Xenopus tropicalis: one gene and its partners. The protein of the gene in region 5 purifies or fractionates together with the protein of the main gene of each other region. This does not show direct contact. Links are inferred from orthologs where the notes say so. Each region holds a gene or a part of one and is shown on either strand. Other genes may lie near its edges.

Region 1 (3,475 bases), on a different chromosome or scaffold from region 5:
GGCAATATTGCTTTAAGAATCCAACCCTGATGTTGCTGGACTACAGCTCCCAGCATGCCTCACCCTTCATTATATGTTACATTATTCTGGGATTTGTAGTCCGGCAACAGCTGAGTAACGTTTGGTTGAGCCGCGCTGTGCCGCAGGGTTTAGTTTCCCTTTCCCAGGGGCACCGAGCTCTTGCCTGAAAAGAAGAGGTGGGTAAAAATGGGTTCTGTGTTTCATCCCCTCCCTATTAGAGGCGGTGCCTCCCACACCCCCGGCCTCTCTACATAAGGATCACTCATGTCTATAAATAAGGAGTGAGCAGAGAGGTGACAGTGTGCAGCCGGCACTCAATGTTCCACTCACTATTAATAACCCCAGAGAGGTGCCAGCGAGGGAACCTCCCATCCACAGGCTTTGGCACCACAATGGTTAAAGGGGTTTGTCACGTTTAAATTAACTTTACATATGATGTAATTTACAAGTACAATTTGCAATTGGTCTTCTTTTCTTATAGTTTGTTATTTAGCTTTTTGTTCATCAGCTCTCTAGTTTGGGATTCAGCCGCTATCAGGTTGCTAGGGTCTTGTGTAGCTTAGCAACCAGGCAGTGGTTTCAATAGACCAGAATATGAATAGGAGAGGGGCTGAACAGAATGAGAATAAAAAGTGCCATTAAAAAGGTGACAGAGCAACAGATTTTGGCTGCTGGGGTCAGTGACCCCTATTTGATGAAGGCAAATAATCCAAAAACTATAAAAATAAATAAATAAATAAGGAAGACCAATTGCAACGTAGAGGTAAGGGATCGGTTACCCAGAAAGCCCGAAATAACGGAAAGCCCGTCTCCCATAGACTCCATTTTAATCAAATAAAACCGATTTAAATTTTCTCTGTAATAATAAAACAGAGTGACGGCCTTCCCCTAATTCGGAACTTTCTGGATAACCGGTTTCCGGATAACTGATCCCATACCTGTACCTTGTACTTGACCCCAATGGAGATATAATTAATCCTTATTGGGGGCAAAACAATCCTATTGGTTGAATTAATTTTTTTTAGTAGACTAAGGTACGGAGATCCAAATTACAGGAAGACCCCTTATCTAGAATACCCTGAGCTTTGTGGATAACGGGTCCTACACCCGCCCCTTTTCTACTGACCAACCGAAGCATTAACAGACTTAACATATAAATATATACAAATACATTTTCCATTTTTATTGCTTTTTCTCATTTTATTAGCAGATGTTTAACTGTATCCTACCAAAAATGTAAAATTAGAAGAAAAAAAAAATAAAAATAAAAGGGAAAAAGGATAAAATCTTTGACCAGAAAGAGTGCGGAACAAGAGACTGGGGCCATAGACGAAAGGAAGGGAGTTATAATGGAATATCGGCTGTTCCAGGGAAGGAATCGGAGGTTTGGCATTGTAGGTGGCAATACACGAGCTGAAGCTTTAGATGCCTCCTTGCCAAAGCAATCTCTCAGCTAGCCGCTTACAAAGGGTTAAACAAAATGGCTACTCACGTTCCCGGCAGCCCAGAATGGCTTCGCTGAGCTACAGGGGCCAGCTACGGTGAACACTTTGGCTCAAAAGTTGCCAATCGGCACCAAAAGGGGCTCAAATCTTAGATCTGCCGCAGCTTCTAAATAGAGAAGGGGCGGCGGGTTCCATCATCATCATCATCATCATGTCTCTCCTGGTCCCCCCCAGCTGGGATTGGGCGCCCGGGCCCCGCTTGCACTAAGGCACTCCGTACGTGAGTGTAAGCTCAGCATCTTAGTACAGGGGACGTGAGGCTCCGAGTGGAAGAGACATTATAAGGAATGACTGCGGATCTGGGGGGGGGGGGGGGTTATAAAATCAAGGAAGAAGCTGTGAATTCTAGAAGTATTTTGGTTTCCTTGCATAATGCTGCCCCCCCCTCTCTCCCTACTAGAAAGCATCACACTGACCCCCCCTGAAAGTCCTGCAGAGCATTACATTTACCTAGTTTCCTGAGAGGCGCAGCACGGCTACAGGAGTTTCCGGATATCTCCTCCTTTGCTAGAAGAGCTGGCAGGGCATTGCTAATTCACTGTAGGGGTGGCACGGCCATGCTATATACACAGCGGTAGCTCTCTCTTCCCAACCGTTGCTACCTAACACATACACACACACACGAGGCTCCGTGAGATGGATCTAGAAAAGAAGGGGCGATGCTCTGCAGCGGAGCTGGGCGCTGGCAAATCATTTGTTTAGAAACAGCAGCACTGGTCCCGTTGCCAGAGGTGAGAGGAGGAGAGAGAGTTGTGCTGGGAGCAGTTCAAAAAGACAATCAGGAGGAAATGGTGCAGAGGCCATCATTGGGCGGGTCACAGGAAGTAATCAGCGACGGGTTTCTTGGAGGGGATACCTCTCGTCTCCTGGGGGGCAGCCTCAAATATGATGAATTCTTTCTGTAGGTGTTCGTCCAGCTCAAGTATGGCGGCGACATTCCCGCACCTACAGAGAACACAGAGTCAGGCTGCGGGGGGGCACACACTCACACTCAATGAGCGGAACTAAAGGGGACACTGTGTGACAACCAATATTGTGCCAATGAATTGTACTCATCTAAATGCAGAAGGAATGGGCTTTAAAAAGTAGTGTTTGGGGCTGATTTATTGAGAAATTTCTCCAAAAACCCACTTCCTGCTGCCTCCTTTCCCAGGCTGTGCAGGGGGGCCGGCGGCACTGTAGGATAGGAACCAATCAGCAGCTAGGCTGACCTGATAGGGAACTGAAGCCTGTCTGTGCTTGTGTGAGTTCAGGGCTGTGATTGGCTCTCCCCCTCCTAGAGGGACCATTAGGACACGCCCACCCCTCACTGGAAACCCAGACAGGGACCCGAGAGGATCTATAGGGAGCTCCAATAAAGGGGCCATTGTTACAGATAGGGTTAAAGGAGACATATCCTATAAAAATTAAGAATGTACCAGGGAATTATACTCCTCTAGATATAGAAGGATTGTGCTTAAAAAGTTGTGTTTCTGTACTGTAGGATAGGAACCAATCAGCAGCTAGGCTGACCTGATAGGGAACTGAAGCCTGTCTGTGCTTGTGTGAGTGCAGGGCTGTGATTGGCTCTCCCCCTCCTACTGTGCTTCTGGCAGGGACTGTTAGGACACGCCCACCCCTCATTTGAAACCCAGACAGGGACCTGAGAGGATCTATAGGGAGCTCCAATAAAGGGGCCATTGTTACAGATAGGGTTAATGTTTAGCCCAAAGGGAAACCAGCACCGGATATTATTCATAATTGCCTACAGGGTTAGGGGTTTCCCATTTATCCAATATGTCTCCTTTAATGTTTAAAAGGAAACCAGCCTACAGGGTAAGGGTTTTTCCCCTTTATCCTATCCTTATCCTATGTCTCTCCATTAAACTGTCTCTTTACCTGTAGCAGTAGTTTGGTGCCGACCACACAGTTAAGACAGTCTCGTTGAAGTGCCACTTGTATCCTTCCAT
Region 2 (4,560 bases), on a different chromosome or scaffold from region 5:
TTCCATGGATGCCTACCCAGGGGGCAGCTGAATGTTCTCCGGGTGGTGGTAGGTACACAGGTTTAACACAGCGTCCAGAAGCTGAATTCTTTCTATTCGAAGGACTTCCAAGTCTGCGGAAGTAAAAAAAAGTTCAAGTTCCTTAATTGCTATAACTTTACAAAAAGACAACCTTTGATGGCATAGCCAAATAAAGTTCCCTCATGTTTCCTTTACCCCTCTACGTGCTTAAACCTTTTACTCTATCAGTACCTTGTGTTGCCAGTAGACATGTAGCATGGCACAGAGCATCAACAGCTTTGGAACATAGGTTTTGTACATTCTAAGATCCAAAGCACTTAAAGGGCTTCTGTGCCTTCTAATTTTCCTGGTGAATTATGCTTTGTTTAAAGGGAATACCAACTCTGGTACAATATTATTGCATATCTATGCCTAGGACACCAGAAAATCTAGCAGTTGTGCATGATCAAGAAATTTTCTTTACACCCTTGTGCAGATAGCCAAATGCCATCAAGCTTATTCTGCTTTCAGAATCTTGTCAGGACATTATAACTATAAGAGGTCTAAGTGAGATCATAAGGAAATTTGTGGTAAACTTGTTTTTGGAGACCAATGTCATTTTAGGCAACTGTGCACTCAAAGCAGCATGAAAATAATGATATTATCACTTGTTCATATTTCCGTTAGACATATCCAAAGGGGTGGGAGGAGGAACACAGAAATAATAAGGACATTTTTAATTCTATACATGACTTGCTCCCATACCATCAGCCTGCACTGCTGCTGCCCGCTTCACCAAGTGATCCGCAAGCTCCATGGCATCAGCTGGGCCTAGAGGAAGATCACGGGATAAGCCAATAACCAGGATTCTCATCAGGGTGTCTTCAAGCAGGGGCACTTCAGAGCAGAGGCGCAGGAAGAAGCTTTTAGTTAAAAAAAGGGACACAATAAAATTAAAATTTCAAGCTCAGCAAGATTGTAGATTTGTTATTCTGGTGGGGACAATGATATAATCTAGAACAGCTTGACTCAGAGAAAATAACTTTGTCTCCCTATTTTACAAGCACCGGAATGAAAAATGTGCATGCTTGATGGCAGGGAAAGGGTTAACACACACCTGTACGCATAGGTATTCATAAGTTGTCGTTATCATTTATTAGATAAGCCATTAAGTAATGTTATATTTCACTGGGAGCCCTAGAATATTACTTTCTGCCTCTTTCCACTTTTATGCATTTGTGCTTCAGGAATTCTATATCAGTTTAGAACAGTACCATATATTGTTCATTGCTTGGTGGTGGTAAAGTTAAAATCTATTGAGAATGGCTTGGCCGAAGCAAGGGATTAATTTGTTTTGCAGTGCATACTGTGAAATACAATCTAAACAGATGATAAACCCAAGTCACAAATGTGTTTTATTATCCATTAATGTAACTGACAATTCAGCACACAAGCAATGCTGCATGACAGAAGGAAAAGGGAGAACTGAATGTTCCGTCAGCCAACTAGCACAATCAGAATAGGCTTTGTCCTTGTCATTGTGGAATCTACCATATTGCATACAGCTGTGTTTGTAATGCCCAATGCAGTTTAGAAAGAGCAGTCTCTCCTCTGGTAAGTGTTCTCAGTATTCCAGCTAACTTAAGTTTTCCTATAATGACAGTTAGCCAGTCACTAAAGTACCCAACCTCATGAAAGGTGCCTGTGGCTCTAAATAAAATCATTAATCAGAGCAGACTGTCTTCGGTTACAATTTTTCATAACAATGCTGGGGCTATCTAAGAGAGTAATAAAGGAAAACCAAAGTACTGAACACACAAAAAATTTAACTATGGTTTCGTACTTGCGATCACTTTCTGGAGGCCAGTTGTCCCATTTGTAGTAGGTTTCTGGTTGCTCTGTAAAAAGCACCTTGTGGAGACTTCATTAAAAAGAAATATAATCTGAATTAGAGTGCAATAACAACACTGGCAACTCCCAACCACCTTAGCATTGTACAACATTTCTATTCTTTTCATCCACTGAGCTGGGTTATTGTATTAATTAAAGACGCCAACCCCTAGTTCCCAAACTATTGAACTACAACCCCAGAAAGCACTGACTGATGTCAGTGTTTTCTGGTGTAAATCAGCTTGGGGGACAAAGTATAGAAACTTTGTCTCTAAAACAGTTTGTGTTTCTAAGACATTACCAAAAGCAAATTGTGCATTTTTAAATAAGTCATGGATTTGTGATTTTTTATTCTAAAATACAGAATAACGCTGTATGTGGATTCTAACTGCACATTAAATCACTTAGAGTAGATAACCATAGGCGTTGCTGCCATGAGGTGTGTTTTACAGGGTACAGCCACATCTCATGTAGCAACAGTATTATTAAGTCTTTTTCAAGTGGACAAAAGTAAATTCTGAATGCATTACAAGCAGAAAAAAAGTTTACTTTTCTTCTGCTCGGAATTTGTTTGCATCTCTGCAGACACGAATATATTCTGCTCAACAGGACAAACTATTTAATGTAGTGTTCTCAAATCAGCCACATGGGTTCACACTGCCAATCAAGTTTGAATGAACAGTTACCAGAATTTCTATGTAAAAGTCACCACTGGTTACTGGTCAACCTGGTTGCCTACTATTTATTAATAATAGAACATTAGCAAAGACTTAAAACTGTGGAGCAGAAGTTCAGAGGTTCCGATTCTAAACTTGCCACACACTGGAAGTAACGTTGAGCTTGATGCTGCAGAATACTTTTAAAGATCATTTTCAAAGTATGAAAAAAGTGGTAGCTCTTTGGCGTTAAAAAAAAATCAAATGGGGAAACTGCAGTAAAATAAATAAAAGTGAGGTATACCAATGCACATAATCTTTAGGAGATAGTTTGCAGATTGTAGGAACTACAGTGTGGAGCCACCATACTGCATCACGCTGAATTGCAGCAATTTGGTTCTGAAAGGATCGCAGGACCTCTAAATCTGGAGGAGAAAAAAAAATACAAAAGCAAAGAAATATAAGCTGCTGTATACAAAGCCAATCCAAAGCAAATCAATAGCTATCCCTGGAGTGGAGGAAATATTCAAGATTAACTCATTAAGTCTTCCTGTCATTAGCTTGGAGCTAATTTAATCTCAAGGGACAAAATAAGTTGGAAATGAAGAAAATCATCATAGCCCAATGTCATTAGAATAAAACTAGAGCAAAACAATTCACCAGAATAAAAAATAGTAATCATCATAAAATGATGAAGTTCAAAATCCTTAATGAAAGAAAGAAATAAAGACCAATTAAAAAGTCGTTAAGAACAGGCCATCCTATAACATACTAAACGTAAAGATACCAAGAAAAAAATGGTAAAATATAGCAAGGGCATCCAGCAGCAGTTACTATGGATACCTATGTATATATGTCTATATAGATATATATCTCTTTGGACAGAAGAACAGACATACATACATGCAAAATTAAAATATTTAATTTAGCAGTGTATTATTCAAGCAAGGAGAAAACCTTATGAATTAGTCGGCTGCTCTAAGTTGGAGACTGGGTCATCGTATATGACAGCTGGTTTCATTTTGAAAATGTTCCAAAAAAGTTCTAATGGACCTCAAACTTGCTTCTCCTTGACCGACAGGCTTCACGTCCAGAAATATCTATCACAGCAAACAACCATTCACCAAAATATCACTGTTATTGGTCTTCATAGTGTACCTGACCCATCCACTGCTGTGGCTCTGATAGAGGGCTTCTGGGAATTTCTAAGGCTAAAATTTGCATGTTGGTCTTTAATAGACACTGTTCTGTTGATGTAACTGCACACAGTCAAACAATAGTTTTCAGTGTATTTAAAGATCACAAGTTTACCAGTAATTAAAAAGCCAGAGATAATCTGTGACAGTTGCATTAAATATTACGGGGCTTCATTTGGGGAGGCCTCCCATATGAGGAAAGGACACCTTTAACAATAAATACAGCAAGGCTTATTGAGATGTGATGTGGTTTTTCAAAAGTGTCCAAGACAAAGTACAGCAAGCAGAATTCATACAATGTACTTTATTGCTTACTCTTCTTTTCTCCTTTGTCCCATGCAACGCCTGCCTCCTTCACTTGTGCTGTTATCCCCAGCATCATGGATACAGCCAGCAGATCTGTGATGTGGATTACAAAACGCTCCTAGAAAGTAAGATGTAAAGCTGCTATCAACTGATGATTAGTGCTTAATTTAAGATTACTGTGGTGTGTGCTAATGTAGAGGGATTAAACAAGGTGTTGTTAAGATTAGTAAAGCCATAAATATATCAAAAGACAGAATATGCTCTACTAAACAAAATACTTAGTATGAAAAGCAGTTGTTTAATTTCCCTGTATACCTTAAATTCCATATCTGTGTACTGAGCTTCCTTCCTCTCCTGCATTAGCCCTAGGCAAAATGCCTGAAAGTTTATCTCATGCTTTGTTTGTTTGATGATTTCGCGGAGCAGGGCCCGAGACGCTCGGAGATAGTCATCTTTATTCGTAAGGAGGTCTTGGAAAACCATAGCTAGGAACTGAGAAAAAATGCTACAGT
Region 3 (4,560 bases), on a different chromosome or scaffold from region 5:
TAGAAGAAATTAGGTGGGCTACTGGTGCCTCAGTACCATTGCTGCCTGGTATGGTCATAGCAAAATGTGATTTCCTTCAAGCTTTGTTTAAATATGTAATATATTGACATAATAGTTCCTTTGGATATTACCTTACAGACATTGGCATATGGCGATATGAACCATGAGTGGATTGGGAATGAATGGCTTCCTAGTCTGGGCTTACCGCAGTACAGAAGTTACTTCATGGAATGCCTTGTAGATGCCCGGATGCTAGACCATTTAACAAAAAAAGATCTTCGAGTGCACTTAAAAATGGTGGATAGCTTTCATCGGTAGGTTTATATAAAAGTGTTATTCACTGATAGCGTCTTACTATTCTTTTCAATGTTTGTGTTTGAATATAATTACATTTATTTTGATAGAAATGATCAGTTTGGTATATGCCTTTATTTCACACGTGAAGGAACCTGATAAATTCCAAAGTATAAGTCAGCTCTCTGATAGTAGTTTTCCTTCAGTAGGATAATTGGCTTTAAGGCTCATGGCACACTTGCCCCTATAGTTAGTGAAAGGAACATTTCCCAGGAGCAGTAACCCATAGCAGCCAATACGATGCTTGCTTTTATACAGGTGCCCAGTAACTGTTTCCTGCTAACAGACCTCTATAGGTGATAATAAGTCTTGCAAACTTTGCTCCTGATATTGCAACAGCCTATGTGTTTTCAGTAGTGATGAGCGAATTTGTCCCATTTTGCTTTGCGGAAAAATTAGCGAAACATGTGTGTCGCATGATTTTTTTTTACACGGCAGCACCCTTTTTTTGACACCTATTTTGCCACGACCACAACTTTTTTTTTCTCTGAAGTTTCAAGAAACAATTCACCAATGGCGAAATGCGGAAATACGCTGTGAATCTATGCCTGCCGAAAAAATTCGCTCATCACTAGTTTTCAGGATAAAACAGCTGGTAACAGGTAGTTTCCATTAAAACAAATGACATGCTGTATGGTAAGTTACTTTGCTTCCAATGGGAAACACCAGCAGAGAATATGCTGCATGTTCCATGAGCCTGAGTGGAACTACTCTGGTGCCACTAAGCAATTACAGTGCTGTGAATGCCTGAGCAGGAAGTCTGTATAGATTTTAAAACACCTGCCATGGACGCACAAATACCGAATATATATATTCAGAAAAAATATTCACTCAGATCCTAAAAAATATTACATATAAACCCATATAAACCCTGCAAATATCTCTAAATACTGTCTTTTCATTTGTCTTAAAATTCACAGAACAAGTTTGCAGTATGGCATAATGTGCTTGAAAAAATTAAACTATGATAGGAAGGAGCTGGAAAGGAGAAGAGAAACAAGCCAGCATGAAATTAAAGGTATGTATTCCCTCTTGTCTCCTTAATAGAATGTTTCTAGAATGATAGCTTCCTAAACAATTTCTGTTGGTTAAATCTTGTATGGACATTAATGTCTGCCATCACGGGGACAGGAAGGAATGTTTCCCCTTTTGAGGCAAAGGTTTTATTTAGACAAAAAAAGCGAACTTGATGGACTTATGGAGTTTTGTACTTTAAAGTACTATGTCATTTTACTGCTATGTTACTACATCTAGCATACCAAGCATAAGTGCTCAATAAATGTTTGTAATATTTCTGTACAAGTAAGTAGTGTCTTTATCAAACATACATAAATGCAAAGATCAAAAGTGACACAAATTGATCACTATAGGACATTGCCTTGTTACCTTAGCTTTCTGTATCTTTTGGGAACCCCCATGTACAGTGTTGCAGGAGCAAGCCGTCCCCATATGCCGAATCAGAACAATTAAAGGGGACCTGACACCTTAAGAAATAATTCAAAATACTTTTCTATCATGTTACTTGAGCAAAATAAACTTTAATTACTATATAAATTATTCAAATATTCTTTCCTTTAGTCTTGAAATTCACAAGACATTCACAAGCAGACAGGTGCCATTTTGTTATTAAGATTAGCTTTGCATCATGCCAAAATCTTGTTTATGCACCAGAATTGGGGACCTGATGTCTATGTCAATGCATAGGCACACAATTGTAGACTGTAAGAAGGGAGGGGAATGTGAGGGGTGCAGTGACATCTAGGGAGTGCTGAAGGGAAAGTGAAAGTAATCTACTGCCCTCCTCCGTGCCTCAGGTGATATGACAGCTCAGATTTTGAATGACATTTACAGATGTTAGAATAAAAAAAAGGATTTGGGTTTTATAATTTGCTGAGGACTTTTATTATACAGCTTTTTATGTAGGAGTGACAGGTCTCCTTTAAATACTTGTGTTATTTTAAAGAGCAGAACATTACAATGAGTCTGATAGGACATCAATAACAAGGGCCTCTTCAGCTGTACAATTCATGCCTCCCTGTTAGTAAAAAGCAGATGCTGCAATATGAAATTGCAATTTGCCACATTATAATTTATATACAATCCATACAAATGTAACACACCTGACACAGAGTATACAAAACACTAATACAGTTTGTAGTTGTACATTTCTTTTACACGAAATGAACACCAATTGAAAAATGTTTTTATTTGTAGATGTGTTAGTGTGGAGCAATGATCGTGTGATTCGCTGGATCCAAGCAATAGGCCTTAGAGATTATGCAAACAACATACTGGAGAGTGGAATCCACGGGTCACTTATTGCCTTGGATGAGAACTTTGACTACACAAGTTTAGCTCTTTTGTTACAAATCCCAACACAAAATACTCAGGTGAGACTCTTAATCCTCTTTATACCACACTGATTTGATTTACATTAATGGGCTCATTTATCAGTTTTCGAGTTTATGAATTCAAGATTATTTTCTTAAATCGAATAAACCTGCATGTCAAATGTTTGCTTATTAATAAGGAGAACTTGTTTGAATAAAAAACTCAAATACCTCAAATTTTTGCAAGTTTACAAATTCCAAAAACTCGAAAATTCAGGTTTGCCAACATGGCAACACTCACTGACTTCTATAGAAACTCGCTTTTAGATGATGGACTACTGGTGCTTTTAGAGGGAGAATTTGTACAGTCAAGCATTTTGCACTTAATAAATAGCAGACATTCGTTTTTGACCCATAATTTGAATTTTTAAAGAAAAAATACTTGAATCATGAAAAAAATCAAATCAATTGAATGTTAATAAATCACCCCCAAAATCTTAAATTATTTCTTAGAACATTTTATAGGTATTAAATGCCTATAATATCTATCAGCTTAATAAAAGGGGGTAGTCTAACATAGATCGACTACACCTGCTATAACAGCAAGGGGTGCTCCATTTCCTCCTGTGCATGTTAATTCTCCCTTTTCCATCTTATCTTCACTCCTTTTCCTCTCTTCTCTTCCCTTGTCCCTTTAGTTTTGTTTGTTCCTATTACATTTTATCCCCCTATTTTTATATTTCTCTCTTCTCTTCTTCTCTTTTTATCCTTTCCTCCCTTTTCCATTACTATTTTCCCAAATATCCCTCCCCCCCTTGAATCTAATTTTAATTCAATCAGTCTTTGTCTTGGCTTTTCGGCAGGGGCATTATTAAATGTTATTGTATTTGACTGTCATATGTTTTGTATTTTATTAAACTAGAGATTGTTTAACACACTGACTAATCCAAAGCTATTAGAGGAAGTTCATATCATTCTCACTTGAATATTTCAGGCACGGCAGATCCTGGAAAGAGAATACAATAATTTATTGGCTTTGGGAACTGAAAGGCGCCTTGATGAGGTAAACAGCTAAATTGTTCAAACTGTTGATTCATTAGTGCTATGAGCAATGTTTCATAATAAAGCAGCAAATAAGGTGTTGAAATCAAAAGATTCAGGAATCTGTTTTTTAACACACATCAGAATCCTGTACTGAATTTTTTTTATTTATTTTTTTTTAAAAGAGCAATTTTTTGGGCAAATTAACATGAGGCAAACTCATTTTTTCACTATTCCATGCACCCTCAGCCATGCTGCTTTAAGGATAAGAACACAAAGGCCATTTTTGAGCTTGTTGACTTTCAAAAAACATTGTAACCAAATTTACTGAAGAAAACTCAGACTCGGTTTCATTTTTGTCATATTTTGTATTGCTAGAGTGATGACAAGAACTTCAGACGTGGGCCCTCCTGGAGGAGGCAGTTTCCACCACGTGAAGTGCACGGAATCAGCATGATGCCAGGTTCTTCGGAAACACTGCCAGCAGGATTCAGATTAACAACAACATCCGGGCATTCACGGAAAATGACAACAGATGGTATGGCTTTATATTTTTAGCTCTGACTGGAGAAACAGAATATAATATATTGTATACTTGCCTCAGATTGACAACACTATTAATATAACACAAAAATGTATTGTCTTAAATGTGTGGTCTGTTGCTAAGGTTCCAGTATAGAACTGAAAATTACTAAGATACAGACAAATGTTTTTCTTCCTGTCTTTCTATAAAAATTCTACATGGATTTTATTGGTGGGCTTATGGGCATAGCAGTGTCAGATCCAGAGCATGCCTAATACTTTCACATATAACATCCAGATTCTCATACCCATA
Region 4 (3,308 bases), on a different chromosome or scaffold from region 5:
AAAAGTGGAGATAGATTTGTGAGATTTTCTACCTTATTCACAAACCTCTATCTCCACTTTTGTGAATTTGTCTTTTAAACAGACAGTGGTCGGATTTTGTCTTTTGAATGAAATTTTACCAACATTTTTTTATGAATTTGTCTTTAGCTCTTAGTAAATCTCTCATCTACATGAGGCCTGTAATAATGATTTTGACAGAAGGATTTTGCATTTCATTTGCTGTCATTTCACTTTAGGGGCATTTCCTGAAGGGGTATTTTAGTCGACAAGGAAATCTATACATAATTTTTTGGGCTTTTTAATGTTTTCTATATTTCTGTGTAATTTCATTTCTCTAACAAGATTTAAGGGTCTAAATACCCTCTTCATGCACTACTTCTATAGTCCTCACTGATTACTAGTCGACAGCAATATAGTCCACCCCCCAACATACCCGATAAAAAGGGGCCCAACAGAATCAGGGTGCACTAGGTTTTTTCCCAGTGCCCTGTTGGGCCATTCCAACCTTGAATTCACAGTGCCCCAATATTCCAGTTTGGGTGCCATTGTGCACGTGCTGTTTGCTAATTACCAAGATTAGTTTAGCTGTGAACCGAAGGTACACAGCTAAACGTGGGGGACAATGCTGCCAATCATCTCTATAGTTTTGCTATGGGGGCACAGATAAGTTGTGGCATATGTCAGTGAAGTGATTAAAGAGGGGACACTGCTGCTAAAACTAAAGATTTGTCAGGGCGGCTTTACTTTTCCTTTAAATAAAAAATGTGTACAATATATTCGCTCAAAATGTTATTATTGACTCATTCAAGTCAATAATGTTATTATTGACTTGATTCATTGAGCTAAAAGTAGGATAATAATGCAAATGTGAGGTAAAAACTTTGTATATGTAACATTGTATAAATTGCACTTTTTGTTTAGTCAGTGTTTTACTTGTTTATAAAAATGTTAATGGGCTTGTTGCACCTATTGCTCTAGGGTTAGACACAAACTTGTCCTCTGACAATAGCCTGGTAACCACCATTAATATGCTGGTGACCCCCCCTCCCCAATGATGCCTCTACCAGAGGTGTGAAATGGAGACTGGGTGAAATAAAGCAAAACAGAAGAGCTTAGAAGTGATCTGAGTTACACAGCGCTTTACTCCATTGTGAAAATGTTGGAAAAAATGTTGTTAAAATGTAATATAAACGTCGTTTAAAAGACAAATTCCCAAAAGTGCCTTTAAACTGTCTTTCTTTCACCTAAAACTAAAAAGAGTCATAATATAGGCGGATTTCTGTTTGTGAATATGGAGAAAGTGTTTTACACCAGTTTTACCATCACTCTTGCTCCAAAAAAAGGCTATATCCATTTTTGTGAATTCCCCCCGATTTATATTAAAAGTTTAGAAATGTTAAAGTACATATGTAACCTAAGCATCATAGGGGTTGGGATTCATATTGATTATCCATGTCAACTATACACACACATTGCTACAGGTTTTGTAAATTTGCATAGAGCTTTGTATAATCAATACAACAGCAAACAGCATCCCAGAGTATCAATTCCACTCCACCCTTCCCTTGTTTCAACTTAAAGTGATGGATTTTGGAACTTAAAAGTCCATGACCTCTGCTTTACATGGTGGCCAGTTCACATATTCTCTAGGAAGCAGAGAGACTTCAAGTCCCAGAATCTACTAAGGAGGTCCCTGCCCATGGATCTTACAAGTTCAACTATTATTATATAACATAATACTACTTTTGTTTAACCCACTTCAGCAGTAAAATAGCTTCCTTTTAAGCAAACATGGAAATGACAAAGGAGCAGTATAAATAATGACTAAAGTACGCATGAACAGCTTGAATAATAACCATTAATGACAGGTCTGCCGAAAGCATGTCAGTTACTTCAGCTGACTTCAGCTGTGTTTTATTGACTATTGTAAATTTAAATAGGTGAAATTAGAAATAGGCAACAACTTCAATGAGATTTAATCAGTTAGGCTTTTTTTGATTCCAACCCTAAAATTAATCATGGTAATTTTAGTAGGTAAATGTGGAAATCAGAATTATCCAACCTAGAGAAAGATTGGATGAATGCAGTGTTTGATGCTGTACGTATATATGCTAATACAATGAAAAAGTATAGTATTCCTAGCCTAATCATATGTAGCCTTAGTTGTTCTTTAGAAAACTGTTATATTCCCACATATATTATATTCATACATTTATACATGTATTTTTATGCCTCTATATTTTCAGCTGGAATTTGAGAAGTCCCAAGTTAAGAAATTAGAAAAAGAACAGAAACGACTTTCCAGTCAGCTGGAGGAAGAGAAAGCCCGCCACAAGCAGCTGTCATCTGTGCTGATGAAAGAGTGTACAAAAGCCAACAACAGGGCAGTGGAAGAAGGACAGAGAGTAGATGATGTTAACCTAAAGCTGGAAAAGGTTAGGAGCAGAGTAAGTCAGCTAGAAGAAGAGCTATCTCTTGAAAAGAAACGAGGCTTGCAGATAGAAGCACAGGTGGAAAAGCAACTTTCAGAGTTTGATATTGAGAGAGAGCAACTGAAAGCCAAGTTAAATAGGGAAGAAAATCGCACAAAAACTTTGAAAGAAGAATTGGAGTCCTTAAAAAAGACATTGAAAGAGCTAAACACCACCCACCAAGTTTCAGTGCCTTCATGCAAGGTAACAAGTGAGCTGGTGTCTATTTGTGTATCAACAGAGAATGCTGACGTAGTATCTGTGTCATGCCAAACCGATCCCTTCCAACATGAAAAAAGTTACACAGATAATTCTGCAAAATCCAATGTCTCATTTACTGCTCCATCTAAGATTCCTCAGCCATATTCCAAAATAAATGGACACTGTAATACATCAGCACACAGCAATGAGCACATTTTAAAATTAAATGTGGGAGACAACCAGAAAGAAAAGTGCAATGTATCAGATAGCCTTTCTGACAGTGGGAACTCTCCAGTCAGAGTAGAGTCTCCTCTGCATATGACAGGATATCTTCCCTCAAGTGGTGCTTCTTCCTCACCCATCAGTACAGCAGCTTCTTCCTTAACTTCTTCTCCATGTTCTTCTCCAGTGCTTTCACGTCGTCTGATTGGAGCAACAGCCAACAGTCCTGGTTATCAATCTTCCTACCAAGTTGGTATCAACCAGCGCTTCCATGCTGCCCGTCACAAGTTCCAGTCTCAGGCTGAGCACGATCAACATGTTACTGGTCTACAGAGCCCCCCTTCTAGGGACCTATCCCCAACCTTGGCAGATAATTCAGCAGCCAAGCAACTTGCACGAAATACTGTGACTCAG
Region 5 (5,255 bases):
ATAGGAGCCTCTAGCAGCTGATTAACCAGCCCTGGCACATAGGAGCCTCTAGCAGCTGAATAACCAGCCCTGGCACATAGGAGCCTCTAGCACAGGGGTCTCAAACTCACGGCCCGCGGGCCATTTGCGGCCCTCGGTACAATATTTTGTGGCCCGCACCAACGCCAAATGAATGGATCGCGATTTTTATTGCGATTCAAGGGATAATGCAAGGCACGGCGGGCGGGAGCTGCTGATTGCGGAAATGGCGTTATGCCATCATAACAGTTATTATGGGCTAATTGTGCACACAGAACGTCTTCCCATAATAACTGTTATGATGGCATAACGTCATTTCCGCAATCAGCAGCTCCCGACTTTTTTTTGTGAAATCCCTTATGCAGCCCAGCCTCATCCTGACTTTGCCTCCTGCGGCCCCAAGGTAAATTGAGTTTGAGCCCCCTGCTCTAGCAGCTGAATAACCAGCCCTGGCACATAGGAGCCTCTAGCAGCTGAATAACCAGCCCTGGGACATAGGAGCCTCTAGCAGCTGAATAACCAGCCCTGGCACATAGGAGCCTCTAGCAGCTGAATAACCAGCCCTGGCACATAGGAGCCTCTAGCAGCTGAATAACCAGCCCTGGCACATAGGAGCCTCTAGCAGCTGAATAACCAGCCCTGGCACATAGGAGCCTCTAGCAGCTGAATAACCAGCCCTGGCACATAGGAGCCTCTAGCAGCTGAATAACCAGCCCTGGCACATAGGAGCCTCTAGCAGCTGAATAACCAGCCCTGGCACATAGGAGCCTCTAGCAGCTGAATAACCAGCCCTGGCACATAGGATCCTCAAGCAGCTGAATAACCAGCCCTGGCACATAGGATCCTCAAGCAGCTGTGGGTTAGTGTGAACACTGGCAATTTCTTCATCTTGTCTTGTTTATCCGTCACGCAGGAGCACCGGCGAGGGGTATAAGTGCTCAATGCACCTAATGGGCATGAAGAGAGCCTTCAGGAACCCCCAGAGGATCACTCCCCAGCTGAGATGCATTTGGGTGCCATTGGACTGAATAACCAGCCCTGGCACATAGGAGCCTCTAGCAACTGATTAACCAGCCCTGGCACATAGGAGCCTCTAGCGGCTGAATAACCAGCCCTGGCACATAGGTGCTTCTAGCGGCTAAATAACCAGCCCTGGCACATAGGTGCTTCTAGCGGCTGATTAACCACATAGGTGCTTCTAGCGGCTGATTAACCACATAGGTGCTTCTAGCGGCTGATTAACCAGCCCTGGCACATAGGTGCTTCTAGCGGATGAATAACCAGCACTGGCACATAGGAGCCTCTAGCAGCTGAATAACCAGCCCTGGCACATAGGTGCTTCTAGCGGCTGAATAACCAGCCCTGGCACATAGGTGCTTCTAGCAGCTGAATAACCAGCCCTGGCACATACGGTAGGTGCTTCTAGCGGCTGATTAACCAGCACTGGCACATAGGTGCTTCTAGCAGCTGAATAACCAGTCCTGGCACATAGGAGCCTCTAGCAGCTGAATAACCAGCCCTGGCACATACGGTAGGTGCTTCTAGCGGCTGATTAACCAGCACTGGCACATAGGTGCTTCTAGCAGCTGAATAACCAGTCCTGGCACATAAGTGCTTCTAGCAGCTGAATAACCAGCCCTGGCACATAGGAGCCTCTAGCAGCTGAATAACCAGCCCTGGCACATACGGTAGGTGCTTCTAGCGGCTGATTAACCAGCACTGGCACATAGGTGCTTCTAGCAGCTGAATAACCAGTCCTGGCACATAAGTGCTTCTAGCAGCTGAATAACCAGCCCTGGCACATACGGTAGGTGCTTCTAGCGGCTGATTAACCAGCACTGGCACATAGGTGCTTCTAGCAGCTGAATAACCAGTCCTGGCACATAAGTGCTTCTAGCAGCTGAATAACCAGCCCTGGCACATAGGAGCCTCTAGCAGCTGAATAACCAGCCCTGGCACATAGGAGCCTCTAGCAGCTGAATAACCAGCCCTGGCACATAGGTGCTTCTAGCAGCTGAATAACCAGCCCTGGCACATAGGAGCCTCTAGCAGCTGAATAACCAGCCCTGGCACATAGGAGCCTCTAGCAGCTGAATAACCAGCCCTGGCACATAGGAGCCTCTAGCAGCTGAATAACCAGCCCTGGCACATAGGAGCCTCTAGCAGCTGAATAACCAACTCTGGCACATAGGAGCCTCTAGCAGCTGAATAACCAGCCCTGGCACATAGGAGTCTCTAGCGGCTGAATAACCAGCCCTGGCACATAGGAGCCTCAAGCAGCTGTGGGTTAGTGTGAACACTGGCAATTTCTTCATCTTGTCTTGTTTATCCGTCGCGCAGGAGCACCGGCGAGGGGTATAAGTGCTCAATGCACCTAATGGGCATGAAGAGAGCCTTCAGGAACCCCCAGAGGATCACTCCCCAGCTGAGATGCATTTGGGTGCCACTGGACCTGGGCAGCACCAGCAATCAGTGTAGACTTCATATTAGAAGTGTTTTTATACAGCCAATGAATTTGTAGAAAAACTTTTTACTTTTCTAACTACAATGTAGTCAAATTTGGTAAACTCCCAGCTACTGTTTCCAGCAGAAACCCTAGCACTGCAGCTGCGATCCAACACACCCATGTCACAGCCTAAAGCAACTGGCCTATCGAGTACAGAAACTGGAACAGCTACACATCATCAGCTGCTGGTTAAATCATTGCAAAATCCCAGAGTGGCTGAATGACAACTTCCCTATGTATACACAGTGCCCTGAGTCACAGCAAACACCCACATTTAATCCATGGCACTGAGGCAAAGGGTAGGGGTCCAATGCATGGTATGAATGGTACTGGGTGTTTAGGGGGACCCCTGCTAATTGCTTGGCATGGAAATGGCATTGTGTGGGGATGAGCTCACTGGACAAATGCTTAGTATGAATGGCAATGTCACTTTGAATTGTGTGAGGGAAGAGAAGCCCCCCCCCCAGGCTCACTGGTTGGTACGACCCACACAGTGTGGTGTAGGGGAGGGGCCCCCGGCTGACGATGAATGGCACAGTCCGGTGGGAAGGGGAGGGGTCTCAATATGAAAGCACAATGTATGGAAGGGGAGGGGCCGAGGGGCTATCAGGGAGAGGAGCAGCTTCCCCTGACCTATAAGCTCATTCAGTAGTGACGTGACAAGCAAGGAGATAGCTGGTCAGACGGCTCATACAAGCCACCGGGCCTAGCTTTCCCTATGAGCCTTCACAATGGATCAGCACAACCCTGCCCACACCTGTGCCTCAGGCAACCACCGCGGCACTCTCCCGCCGTCCCTACCCCCCATAGATATCACTGACCTGGACGTCTTCATTCCGCAGCTCGTCAATGAGCACAGCGATAGGATATAAAGAATCATCCCCGTCTGCCGCCGCCATCTTGTTTCTTCCTGTCAGTTAGAATGAACGGGAGGGCGAACGGGGGCGCTAGTGCAGTCCTGCAGGGGCATGGACGTGACGACACTAAGGGGGCGGGTGTTGTTCCTAGCAACGGCGGAGGGTTCTATTGCGGCATACGAGAGACCGTCGCTAAGGAAGGGAGGAGTTTCGATGCATGACGTTTAAGACGTAGCGGCGCCGACATATTGGTTGGGGCATAAAGTGATGGCATCTTAGTAACAGTTCTACTATTCCAGTATTTTCTGTACCATACAGAGGGTGGATAGATTCTGTGGTGAATTACAGCATTAGCCAGTATTACTTGTTTTGCCAGGCAGTTTTTGAACATTCACTTTAGGGGCCTTTCCTCAGGGGGGACTTTTAGTTTACACAGGAAAACAATATAATGCCAACCTAAGCTTTCAACGTATGGTACAATATTTATATAATTCGAATTCTGTAACAAGATATAAGCTTCTAAATGTCTAAAAATGAAAAAATAAAATTCCATAATATAAACACACATACCAGAAACAAAAATTTATTTTATTCACGAAAATACAACTGATTTGGAAAATCCCATGTCTCCTGAATGTGCCAATACCAAATATCCAGCAGTACACTACCAAATTCCCAAAGCACTGCTCCAGAAAGCTGCATACTTTAGATTTTAGGGCCATAAATTCCACTAACAGAAGGTTTATCCCAGAAAATTGTACATTTTTGGAAAGAACAGATTCTGGGGAATCCAGAATAGGTACAACTGTCTGTCTACTCCAAACTATCAAGTCGCAATGCTTTCCTAAAGTTATTGGTTTTTATCAAAATATTTAAAAAATCGCTTCAAAGCTTCCAGTCTATAGTATCTTATCTCCTACAGGTCATAAAGTAACCAAATAAAACACCCTAAATATGAACGCCAGGGGCAACTGAACAGTTTGATGCCCAATATGTAAAGGTTTAGCTAAGTATGTGGCATGTAGGGGCCCCAATGGGAACATACCCCCATATGATCTATCATTTCTGTCATCAACACATTTACATCATTATATGTGGAATAAAGCTAGTAAAAAGTACACTCACCCCAGAAAGTCATATATTGTTGAAAAGTACACATCCCCCCGAATCTAAAATGGGTACCCATGTCTTTCTACTCCAAAGTACCAAGCCGCAAAGCTTTCCTAAAGTTGGCAATTTTGATGACATTTCCAAAAATACCCTTGTAGCTTCCACTTTGCAGCATCTTATCTCCCACATATCATTAGGTACCAAGATAAAACACCCTAAATTTTAACGCCAGGGGTCCACTGAACAGTTTGATGCCCAAAATGTATAGGTTTACCTAAATATGTGGCATGTAGGGGCCCCAATGGGAACATACCCCCATATGTATTGTCATTTCAGCTCCTGCAAAATCAATACATTTACATTCTTTATGTGGGATAATCCTACAAAAAAGTACACTCACCCAGAAAGCCATATATTTTTTGGAAAGTACAAATTCCCCCAAATCTAAAATGGGTTAACATTTCTTTGTACTCCAAAGTACCAAGCCGTAAAGCTTTCCTAAGTTATGCAAAGATATACCAAAGTCTGCGGTATGTACTAACCCCAAAATGAAAATAGTGCATATGGATTTCTCGCCTGCCTACTCAGCTTTTGCACACAGTATAAGTCACACAACAGTGTAATTAGTGGTCAGAATATGTAATCCAATAGTCACGCTGTCAAAATAAACAGTTTTTAGGGAAAAGAAACTAAAAACAAAGTGGTAAAATGAAAAAAAAAAAAGTTTGTGTATACAAACTTTTTCCAGTGCTCAAACGGGACAT
Region 6 (5,141 bases), on a different chromosome or scaffold from region 5:
TGGCCTCTGGGTGTGTAGGAGGTGGTCACTAATGAAGGCCAAGTAGGCAGAGACTCAGGTAAGCTGCTTGGTCAGTGTGTTACTAACCACCTCCCGATACTTTGCGTGTAGGCCCAAAGCATAAGGGTCACAGAACTTTTTCCCAGCACACATCTAGGACATTTAGCCATTTAATAAAGGCTTATGGATGTATCATCCTTTCAGGTTTAAAGAGTCAAACAATGAGAACTCTAAAGCCTCCTTACAATTGTCATTTGGCACAGTGCCCAGGTCCTGTATCAGATATACAAATTGCATAATATTTTCTACCATTAGCTGCTATTATTTTTTCACATCTTACTGCCAGTTATTTGAACCTTTCCCGAAAAGGAAAAAAGAAAGGTTAGGATTCATCCCTTACGTGTAACTCTCAGGATATTGTAGTGCAAAACCTTATGTTTAAATAGATGTTTACAGATGGGGGAAACTCCCATCTCCTCTGGGTTACAGAGGGAGAGAAGTCCTGAAAAATGAGGACTTTCTGCCCGTTATCCTTATACACTCATCCCATCCGCTATAGTCTTTGTGCTCTGGGCAACTAAGGGGTCCGGGCAGGGTGAAATGGGGCACCCCTCTGTCTAAGCAGGAAACTCAGAACAATGGCATCCATTAGGAAGGCCCACCCACCGGAAGTCCAATGTCCCCATGCTTAAACTGCCCAAGCTTGATGTTTTTTTTAATGACACCTCTTCTCTGCAGGAAGTGGCTGCAATCTGTCATTTTTAGATGGGATTAAACTATTACACAGCCAGATATTAGTTTGCCCAATCTTGGCAAACTCATCCCAACCTCAAATACAGGATTTAATGGTTTTCTTTTACCTTTATGTCTTGCCAGTAAGGGCCTCCTTGGGTGTATATGAAATAATTGTATAGATCATCCCTTTGTTGGGAGAAATAGCTGTCTGACTTGATGTTCACCATCCAAGGTCGTCCATCCCCACGTACTCGCAAGTACAGAGTGTTAAAGTTGGACCAGTCATAATGCAGCTTACGATTGAATGCTCCCTACATGTTAAAAACAAACAATCATGAAACATTTATGTGCATTGATTTATACCCTGAGGTTTTTGCAATGACAGATTTATTACTCTGGAGAAGACAGGCCATGGTTGCAATCACACATGTGAAATGTTATTTGTTGGTAAAGCCAAGCTGGCAGTCTGCTAACGTTCATTATTATCTGGCCACTGGGGGAGCTGTTACATTAAAGTTTATGGAGATAAATACTTAAAGAAAAACTGTCATGGGAAAACATTTTTTCAAAATATATCAGTTAATACAGCTTCTTCAGCAGAATCCTGCATTGAAATACAATTTTTTAAAGCACAAACATTTTTTATTTTGTATTTCACATTGGGTTAGACATATTCTTCATTTCCCAGGGTGCCACAGTCATGTGACCTGTGATCTGATAAACTTCAGTCACTCTTTACTGCTGAGCTGCAAGTTGGAGTGATATCCCCCCTCCCAGCAGCCGATCAGCAGAACAATGGGAAGCGAGCAAGATAGCAGCTCCCAGTAGGTATCAGAATAGCACTCAATAGCAAGAAATCCAAGTCCGGCTTGGGACTCCTCCAGTTACATTGGAGTAGGAGATATATTAAGTTACCTGAAAGCAGTTCTAATATGTAGCACTGGCTCCTTCTGAAAGCTCAGACACACAATGCACTGAGATGGCGCCTACACACCAATATTACAGCTAAAAAATACATTTGTTGGTTCAAGAATAAAGTGTTAAATGGTAGAGTGAATTATTTGCTATGTAACCAGTGTAATTCAGAAATAAAAAGTATGCCATAAAAATCATGACAGAATCCTTTTACCTAAAAGAGGAAATAAATTGGAGGTAAACCATGCATATTTCATAAAAATTGTTTATAATGGAAATGGTAATGGTCCACTCCAGTAAGTAACAAAAACCAAAGGCCGTTGGCCCTCCAGCTATAAATCTCCAGCTTTCCCTAATGGCCACTGTAGTTTGATGCATGTTGCACATACCTACCATTAAATATTCAATAAACAGACTGTGCACACTTAACTGGTTTCAATATAAAATGTAGCAGTTCACCAACATTCTCATTAGTCTTTTATTTGGAACTGCTATCAGATCAGTCTAAATATTAAATAAAGGCAGTGAATAAATGGTACAGTGTAGCCTTTAAACATTTAATAATGAGCACAGCAACCCACACCTTTACTGCCTTTTATAGAACATTTCCCCCTGACACTGCCATATATTTAACCCAATATATAAAAAGGCAATAATTTTGCCTAGGTGCCGTAACCCATTAGCAACCAATAAAATGGGTAGAGCTATTCTAAAACAACAATAATAACTATTTGGACAGTTATTATCTGTGTGTAGCTTCTGTTCCGCAGCTCTTCTGTGTTGCATAGTAACCACACTGTTGTTAAGAGGGACAGTGGCTCAAGGGCAGAGGCTAAAACACAACAATGCTTTCCTATTGCAGTTGCATTGAGTGGCTTATCTAGCTTAAATCTGCCCATGTATGGCCTTAAGTCTGCCCTACAGACGCCTGGGAAAGGTAATTAAGCCATGTAGCACTGTGTATTTTTCCCAACAGTAGCACCAACCCCAGGGATAAAGACATAGCAATTTTATTCACTCGGGGGGCGCCCAACATATTGGCATCCCACAGTGAATTTGCTATTCCTTCATATTTAAAAGTTACATTTAAAAAAAAAAAAAAAAATTTATGAACACTAAAAATATTTAGCAACAGATGTGATTCTTTAAGTTCAGCTTTAGTATGTTACACTGTAGACTTATTTGTTACAACTTTTCAAGTGGTTTTCAATATTTTTTAATCATAGTTTTTGAATTATTTGACTTCTTCTGGCTCTTTCTGGCTTTCAAATGGGGGTCACTGACCCCAGAAGCCAAACTGTGTCAGAATATCAGTCTTTACATCAGACTAAAAGTAAATATAAAGGCGAACAACCCCTTTACATGGAAGTGCATTATTTCTCTTTACTAGCACTGTACTTACCAAAGGGGTTTTGGACTTCATAGTGCAGTACCCACTGTATCTTGTTTCGCCATCCCGAGGAACTTCAGTATTGAGGGTACCATAAAAAAGAGCTGTCTGATTGTTCCTTCCCAGCTTTAGAGACACCTGACTTTTCCCTCCTATCTCCTGGTCTGACGATAGAGTCCATTTGTCCAGATCCTCTAAGCTTCTGAACTCCCAAACAACATTTGTCTGCTCCAAAATATTCTCCCTCAAAGTCTTTCCCCCAGGACCTCTCAAATGATCCTCTACTTCCTTCTTCAGCAACCCAAAGTGTTTCTTCACTCCTGCCACTCCCTTCTCAAAGCTGAAATTGATCCTTTTCCAAGGAGGAGTGTTGTCTGGGGGGAGGCCAGGCCTGCGATATTTGCTGCTGTACAGTTTGCATTGCAAGAGTTGTGAAGACGGGTGCAACAATGGGCAGAATGGTTTAGTCCATCTGGGATGTCTGCACAGATGTAGCTTCTGTATTATATTTAAGCTTAAAGCCATTGCTGTTTAGATATAAAATAAAAATGTTCAGTTTATAAAATCCTGAATGTTGCATGAAACCCAGGGGCCTTTACCTAAAAATAATTTGGGGTTTGAGAGAAAAAGACAATATCATTTAAGACATTTAAATACAAATACATTTTTTAAAGAAATCTGTAGAAGTTACTGTGTTTTTCCTCAGGGCGCAATTATCAACATCAAAGATTCTTGGGGGGGGGGGGTTATTTACAAACATATCTGCACCATTGCAACCAACCAACATTGAATACATTACAGCAGTGGGGAGCATCAGGTAAGGTGTGAAGTTTAAGAGAGCAACTCGCTTGGGGGAAGGGACAGAGACATGTGCTAAGTAGGTATTGTGGGTTTAGGGCTCATACATTTCCTAGCAATGCATGCTGATACATATACAGAGAGATCATCATCAATAACCAAAAGGCTTACCCCTGGAAGCAGAAGCTTAGGAAGGCAAGGTCATCATTTCAGCAGAGACTGACATAACAAAAGAAGGTCAAGTTGGTGCAAAACAATGTAAATGACAGAAAGGAGCTTGGATACTATGTGCCTTTATTGCCTAAGTGGTAAAGCCCTGAAGGACCCTGCATAGCTGCCTGTACCGCAACAAGTTCCATTATATACCTGGTATGGGGCTGCAGCTGAAGCAAGCACACAGTATTACCATTATTCCATAAGGCTACAGCGGCTCACCTCCACAGTGCACTCCTTCAAGGAGCCATAGTACTGACAACCCGTGAACCTCTGAGCATGCGTGTCCGTGTCGCCTCCTAATGACCTCACCGCTAGCCAACCAATTAAACGTGAGAGCGGGCAGGCAAAGGCAGGCATGCGCAGATGCGTTGCTGATGGAACGCATGGGAAAGCGTTTGTATACAGCTTTATTTACACCTAACAAACATTCTTGAAGACAACGTTACAGATTAGTCTACCTAACTAAGATTATCATTCATCTATCCAGCCATCACGTGCATTCAAAATTATGAATTTATAAGAAACAGTGAGTTAAGAAGATCGTGTTAGTTTGTGTAAAAAGCTTAATACATATACCACATACTAGGCAATATTGCATCCCTTTTCCTCAGTTTTAAATATTATCCTTTATTTATATATCACTCATATATAAATGCAGCACATTGCATTGATTATGATACTCATCTGCCCCTTTGCCATTGGAGCTTACAATCTAAGGTCCCTATATCATTTACATACACTAAGGTCACTTTCATCAAAGGCCAATAAAGCTCACTGTATGGTTTAAGAGGAATCACAGTTCCCAGAGGAAACCCACACAAGCACAGGAAAAACATACAGTGCCCAGATTGGAACCAAATTCAGGGAGCCGTGCTAATTACAGGCCACCAGTGTAGTTTACATCATATGTCTTAAGTATTTACTATTAGGCCTTCAGTGCTACTTGGTGAAAGTAAATATCCAAAAAAGAAAAAACTGCCAATTGATGACCTGATTCATTCTCTGGATTGGCCACATTTTAATTAGCCAAATGGAGCAAAATCTTGTATGTGACCAAAACGTTAACAATAAAACTGTTTCCTAACAC
Region 7 (4,560 bases), on a different chromosome or scaffold from region 5:
AAGATGTTGAAATGTGTTTGGTCCTAGTAGACAGCAGAGAAGAACTCCTTGGTGACCAGCTTTTTGATGTTAGGCTTGATCTAGTGGGATCGGTTTGAAGACCAACACTAACCATCTGAACAGTCTGAACACCAACACTGGACAGCCCAACAGTCTGACTTGCTGTACTCTTTGGTTTCCTTTCTAAGGAGCTAGAGCGAATCGCCTGTCGAACACAATTTGTGATTTCTTTCATATCATCGCTCATGTTACCAGAAATCTCCAAATCCCCGAGGGAAGATGGAAACCCTGGGACAGAAGAAGAGTCTTTTACTGAATCGCCATCCAACAAATCCCGCTGCTTTTTGGAGAAATTACAAAGCCAGCGGCTATACGAATTCCCAGATAACCCGTCTGATTTTTCTGATTCTTTTGGTTTGGCCATGGTAAACAGGAATCCCGTTTCTACCATGAGTTTATCCTCTTTATTTTGGACCAAAGGCACATCGAGCCTCCGAACCACTGGTGGGCTATAATAAATCCGAATGCCTGTCTTGTCTGGCGCCGTGTAGCTTCTCTGTATGTGCTTCTGCCCATCCACACGATTATCAGCCTTGGCCATCGTATAATCCCAGGATGAGATCACCAGGTTACCCTTGGGAAGATGTCCGGCCAGGGAATTGTCATTACCCTCATATGAACAATGTTTTTCTGAGTTTTTAGAACCGTTGACCAAGAGTGTAGAAGCTGGTAGACCTCTCCTCTCATTGGCATTTTCGCCATTAGCAGAGGATGTGTTGTCGTGCAGAAAGGGGGAACAATCGAGTAAACTTTCAAACTCTGACATGGAAGATACAGATTTGGTCCTAAAGCAAAATTGAACAGGAAGTGAAATGCTATATTTTTATATTCAACTTTTATATTCAGACACATTTTCTACATAAGCAACCGATTAAAGGAACAGTTCAGTGTCAAAATAAAACTGGGTAAATAGATAAAAAAAAATAATGTTGTTCTTGTTCATAGTTAACCAAAAATGTAATCTATAAAGGCTGGAATGAGTGGATATCTAAAGGTCCCCATACACGGGCCAATTGTAGCTGCCGATATTGGTCCCTTGGACCAATTTGGCAGCTTATCGGCCCGTGTAGGGGCAGAAACGAGGGGCCTGCCCGACTGATATCTGGCCTGAAATGGCCAGATATCGTTAAATTTTAAAAGATTCAGTCGGATCGGGGACCGCATTGGCTCGTTGATGCGGTACCCGAACCGACTGCTCATTGCCGCCAATATAATTTGATCGTTTGGCCCCAGGGCAAAGCGATCAAATTAGCCTACACGTTCCCGATATCGCCCACCAGTAGGTGGGAATATTGGGCGAAGATCTGCACGCTTGGCACTCTCGCCAAGCGAGCGAATCTTCACGTGTATGGGGACCTTAACATAATAGCCAGAACCCAACTTCCAACTTTCAGCTCTACAACCTCTTAGTTTGTTAGCGACTTGAGGGGGGGCCACATGGGACATAACTGTTCACTTAGTTTGCTTTTGATTCTTAGCACCCAGGTCAGATTCCAAAGCAAACGGTTATGTCCCATATATCTACCCCTCAAGTCATTGATTGGTTACTGACATTTAATAGGTTAGAGAGCTGCAAAGGAGGAAGCCAAGTCCTGGCTGGTATGTTAGCCAGCCCTTATGGATTACATTTAGTGCTAACTACATTGAAAACATTTTTTATTTTGCACAGTCTATCTATTTTCATTTTTATACTGAACAATTCCTTTAAATCATACACACCAAAGACACCACACACACCAAAGACAAACTAACTGATACTGGTACAAGGGCTCAATGGATGAAGGTTACAAAGTACAGGAATGGCTAAACAGCAGTACCAATACACCTTACCTTTTTAAGCTGGTCACACTGGCATCGGAGTCACAGTCACAGTCACAGTCAATGTCTTTGTCCTGAAGTTTATTGCTGACAGCCTAGGGTAAAACAAGCACAGGATTTATATGGGAAGGCATATCTGTTGGCATCATGCTCTTTGACATGAGAACAAAGTCACAAAACCCTACTTATAACCCCCTTACATAAAGCTGTAATAAAAAGTGTTTGCCCAGGTGCAGTAACCTATGAACAACCAATGAAATGTTTGGTTTTAAACAAGTGGCCAGTAAATATTACCTGTTGATTGGTTGCTATGGGTTATTGCATCTCGGCAAACTTAAGGGTCCTCATACACGTGAAGATTCACTCGCTTGGTGAGATCGCCAAGCGAGTGGATCTTCACCCAATATCCCCATCTACGGGGTGGGCGATATCGGGAACGTGTGGGCTAATGGGCCAAACGATCAAATTATATTGGCGGCAATGGGGCAGTCGGTTTGGGGACCGCATCAACAAACTGATGCGGTCTTCGATCCGACTAGATTTTTAAACCTGCCGGATCGAGATCTGGTCAATTTCAGGCCAGATATCGGTTGGGCAGTCCCGTCGGTAGTGCCCATACACGGGCCGATTAGCTGCCGAATCAGTCTAAGGGAGCCATATCGGCAGCTAGAATTGGCCCGTGTATGGGCACCTTTAGGTGGGCTTATTTATTACACGCTTGGCAAACTGGCACTTGGAAAGTAAAGGCAGATATGCATGCAGATTCAATAAGATGCATCTTTTTCGCTGTAGGAATGAAAGGGTTAAGAGGCATGTCTGAGAGCAGCTGTGGAACTATAGAGTTACCATAGTCTTTCAATGTAGGTGGCAGCTGTTTGGGGTCAGGCCACACACTCCCCTGACAATTAGCTAGAGCTGCCCAAAAGCAAGGTTGTTTTATTTCTCTATGCCACAAGCCATCTGGAATAGGCAGCCGAACCAGAGGGTTGGGGGGGACAAATTATGCATTTGGGTTGATTTCAATTTATCTACACAAAACAAGCATGTCCGATGGTTCAAAAGCAACAGCTTGATAAGTGAGAGGATGTTCTGTGGTGGAAGGATCTATTTTTGAAGCCCCTGCTTGATGCAAGAGAAGCCTTTTATAGCAAGGGAAAGCAGCACATGCAACAATATTTGTGCCGTTTAAAAGCGTAGGAATGCACCTACATTTGTTAGGCCTGGAAACTGCCACTTGTATTTGCTTTAAACTACAACTCCCAGGATCCCATGGTAGATGCATGCTGGGAGTTGTATTGCAATTAATATATATGGAGGCTCCCAGTTTTAAGAACCCAAATAGAATAAGCTCAGTGGGGGTACTATATAGGCAGTTTATTGGGCTTGAAAAGTAGAGAACTATTCTCAGGTGTGTGATATTTACCCTTAAAAATATAAACAATAAATGCTAAAGCATCAGCGTAGGACTAACTGTAGGATGGACTGGCCCCTAAGCAAGGGGTGGGCAAACTGAAGCCCATGTACCTGCCATAGAAAATACAGCAGGAGAATACCAACTTGCTCACCTCTTTCCAGCAGCTGCTCCTCCTCTCAGGTTCTTTTTTCACCCAGGAATCTGCTTCCTTCTGCAGTCAATATAAAACAGGTACTGTTATATGGTATACACATGGCAAAGGCACAGTTTTATAGAATAGTAATAGCCATTTCCTAATTGGTTGCTGTGGGGTAATGGATGCAAAAAAAATGCACTTATAATCTACAAGCCCCATGAATAGGATCAGGGTATGTTGGTGCTGGAGAGGATATTATTATAGGATTCTATATGTTTGTTATAACTAGTGATCCGTCCCGTTTTGATTTGGCAAAGAAATTAACGAAACTGGGAAAAATCAGCAAAATGCAGGTACTTGCACAAGTGTGCCTTTTTTTACATGCCCGCAAATTTTTTGTGGCAAAACAATTTGCCAATGGTGACATGCGTAATTTCACTGCAAAACCATGCCTGGCAAAAAAAATTCGCTCATCATTAATTAATTAGATTGTAAATGTTGATACTTTGGCCACTAGAGGGCACTATTTCATTAGTCTGTAGTAATCAAGGCTGTTTCAGTTTTATATATATATATATTATATATATGCAGAAATCCCCCAGATCAACATTTGCTCCTGAACATTTAGATGAACTATATTATATATATATACTGGAACAAGGACAGCACTCCTAGGATTCAAAGAATTGTGAGCAAAATGTAAATGCCAAAATAGAAAATAGACGTTTCAGTCTCACACAGAAACCTTCATCTGGAGTGAAAAACAAGATGACTCCAGATGAACGTTTCTGTGTGAGACCGAAACATCAAGTAATAAACATTTCTATTTTTGCATTTACACACACATATATATATTATATATATATATATATATATATATATATATATATATATATGGGCAGAATTGCAGTACTATGTATACCTCTCCCACTGATTCGTTATGATTTTTCAACTGCTGCCTGACTGCTAGGATAACAAAGCCTTAGCAATTAGATAGCAGTTGAAATTCTATACTTCAGTAACAAAAGAAAAAACTATACATTCAAATGCATTTATTTATTTATTTTTTTAAGAAAACTGCTTTCTACACAACCTGTTTAACATCTAACTTATTCGGGATAGAGCAGGATAG

Evidence for each region.
Region 1: the proteins of ppp2r1a (region 5) and ppp4c purify together in Homo sapiens (affinity purification with mass spectrometry; 7 studies listed by BioGRID and IntAct, with this or other methods). This does not show direct contact. The link is inferred for Xenopus tropicalis from reciprocal best matches to the Homo sapiens genes PPP2R1A and PPP4C.
Region 2: the proteins of ppp2r1a (region 5) and ints1 purify together in Homo sapiens (affinity purification with mass spectrometry; 4 studies listed by BioGRID and IntAct, with this or other methods). This does not show direct contact. The link is inferred for Xenopus tropicalis from reciprocal best matches to the Homo sapiens genes PPP2R1A and INTS1.
Region 3: the proteins of ppp2r1a (region 5) and ppfia2 purify together in Homo sapiens (affinity purification with mass spectrometry; 3 studies listed by BioGRID and IntAct, with this or other methods). This does not show direct contact. The link is inferred for Xenopus tropicalis from reciprocal best matches to the Homo sapiens genes PPP2R1A and PPFIA2.
Region 4: the proteins of ppp2r1a (region 5) and cttnbp2nl purify together in Homo sapiens (affinity purification with mass spectrometry; 6 studies listed by BioGRID and IntAct, with this or other methods). This does not show direct contact. The link is inferred for Xenopus tropicalis from reciprocal best matches to the Homo sapiens genes PPP2R1A and CTTNBP2NL.
Region 6: the proteins of ppp2r1a (region 5) and ndufaf1 purify together in Homo sapiens (affinity purification with mass spectrometry; 3 studies listed by BioGRID and IntAct, with this or other methods). This does not show direct contact. The link is inferred for Xenopus tropicalis from reciprocal best matches to the Homo sapiens genes PPP2R1A and NDUFAF1.
Region 7: the proteins of ppp2r1a (region 5) and soga1 purify together in Homo sapiens (co-immunoprecipitation; 3 studies listed by BioGRID and IntAct, with this or other methods). This does not show direct contact. The link is inferred for Xenopus tropicalis from reciprocal best matches to the Homo sapiens genes PPP2R1A and MTCL2.

The regions. Positions count from the first base shown.
Region 1 is NC_030685.2:2,447,228-2,450,702, forward strand, and holds the end of ppp4c (serine/threonine-protein phosphatase 4 catalytic subunit), read right to left. Parts: coding exon 3,405-3,475; intron 2,472-3,404; coding exon 2,342-2,471; 3' UTR 1,201-2,341; downstream 1-1,200. UniProt on the Homo sapiens protein: Protein phosphatase that is involved in many processes such as microtubule organization at centrosomes, maturation of spliceosomal snRNPs, apoptosis, DNA repair, tumor necrosis factor (TNF)-alpha signaling, activation of c-Jun N-terminal kinase MAPK8, regulation of histone acetylation, DNA damage checkpoint signaling, NF-kappa-B activation and cell migration.
Region 2 is NC_030685.2:29,740,490-29,745,049, forward strand, and holds part of ints1 (integrator complex subunit 1), read right to left. Parts: intron 4,541-4,560; coding exon 4,364-4,540; intron 4,167-4,363; coding exon 4,058-4,166; intron 2,972-4,057; coding exon 2,851-2,971; intron 1,922-2,850; coding exon 1,844-1,921; intron 924-1,843; coding exon 766-923; intron 114-765; coding exon 17-113; intron 1-16. UniProt on the Homo sapiens protein: Component of the integrator complex, a multiprotein complex that terminates RNA polymerase II (Pol II) transcription in the promoter-proximal region of genes.
Region 3 is NC_030679.2:52,676,216-52,680,775, reverse strand, and holds part of ppfia2 (liprin-alpha-2), read left to right. Parts: intron 1-138; coding exon 139-314; intron 315-1,274; coding exon 1,275-1,372; intron 1,373-2,568; coding exon 2,569-2,744; intron 2,745-3,678; coding exon 3,679-3,747; intron 3,748-4,103; coding exon 4,104-4,263; intron 4,264-4,560. UniProt on the Homo sapiens protein: Alters PTPRF cellular localization and induces PTPRF clustering. May regulate the disassembly of focal adhesions.
Region 4 is NC_030678.2:60,504,996-60,508,303, forward strand, and holds part of cttnbp2nl (CTTNBP2 N-terminal-like protein), read left to right. Parts: intron 1-2,246; coding exon 2,247-3,308. UniProt on the Homo sapiens protein: Regulates lamellipodial actin dynamics in a CTTN-dependent manner. Associates with core striatin-interacting phosphatase and kinase (STRIPAK) complex to form CTTNBP2NL-STRIPAK complexes.
Region 5 is NC_030683.2:120,838,064-120,843,318, forward strand, and holds the start of ppp2r1a (serine/threonine-protein phosphatase 2A 65 kDa regulatory subunit A alpha isoform), read right to left. Parts: upstream 3,435-5,255; 5' UTR 3,424-3,434; coding exon 3,346-3,423; intron 1-3,345. UniProt on the Homo sapiens protein: The PR65 subunit of protein phosphatase 2A serves as a scaffolding molecule to coordinate the assembly of the catalytic subunit and a variable regulatory B subunit.
Region 6 is NC_030684.2:115,760,839-115,765,979, forward strand, and holds the start of ndufaf1 (complex I intermediate-associated protein 30, mitochondrial), read right to left. Parts: upstream 3,569-5,141; 5' UTR 3,568-3,568; coding exon of another isoform or gene 3,566-3,567; coding exon 3,053-3,565; intron 1,047-3,052; coding exon 861-1,046; intron 1-860. UniProt on the Homo sapiens protein: As part of the MCIA complex, involved in the assembly of the mitochondrial complex I.
Region 7 is NC_030686.2:43,216,970-43,221,529, forward strand, and holds part of soga1 (protein SOGA1), read right to left. Parts: intron 3,504-4,560; coding exon 3,444-3,503; intron 1,974-3,443; coding exon 1,891-1,973; intron 846-1,890; coding exon 1-845. UniProt on the Homo sapiens protein: Microtubule-associated factor that enables integration of the centrosomal and Golgi-associated microtubules on the Golgi membrane, supporting directional migration. Preferentially acts on the perinuclear microtubules accumulated around the Golgi.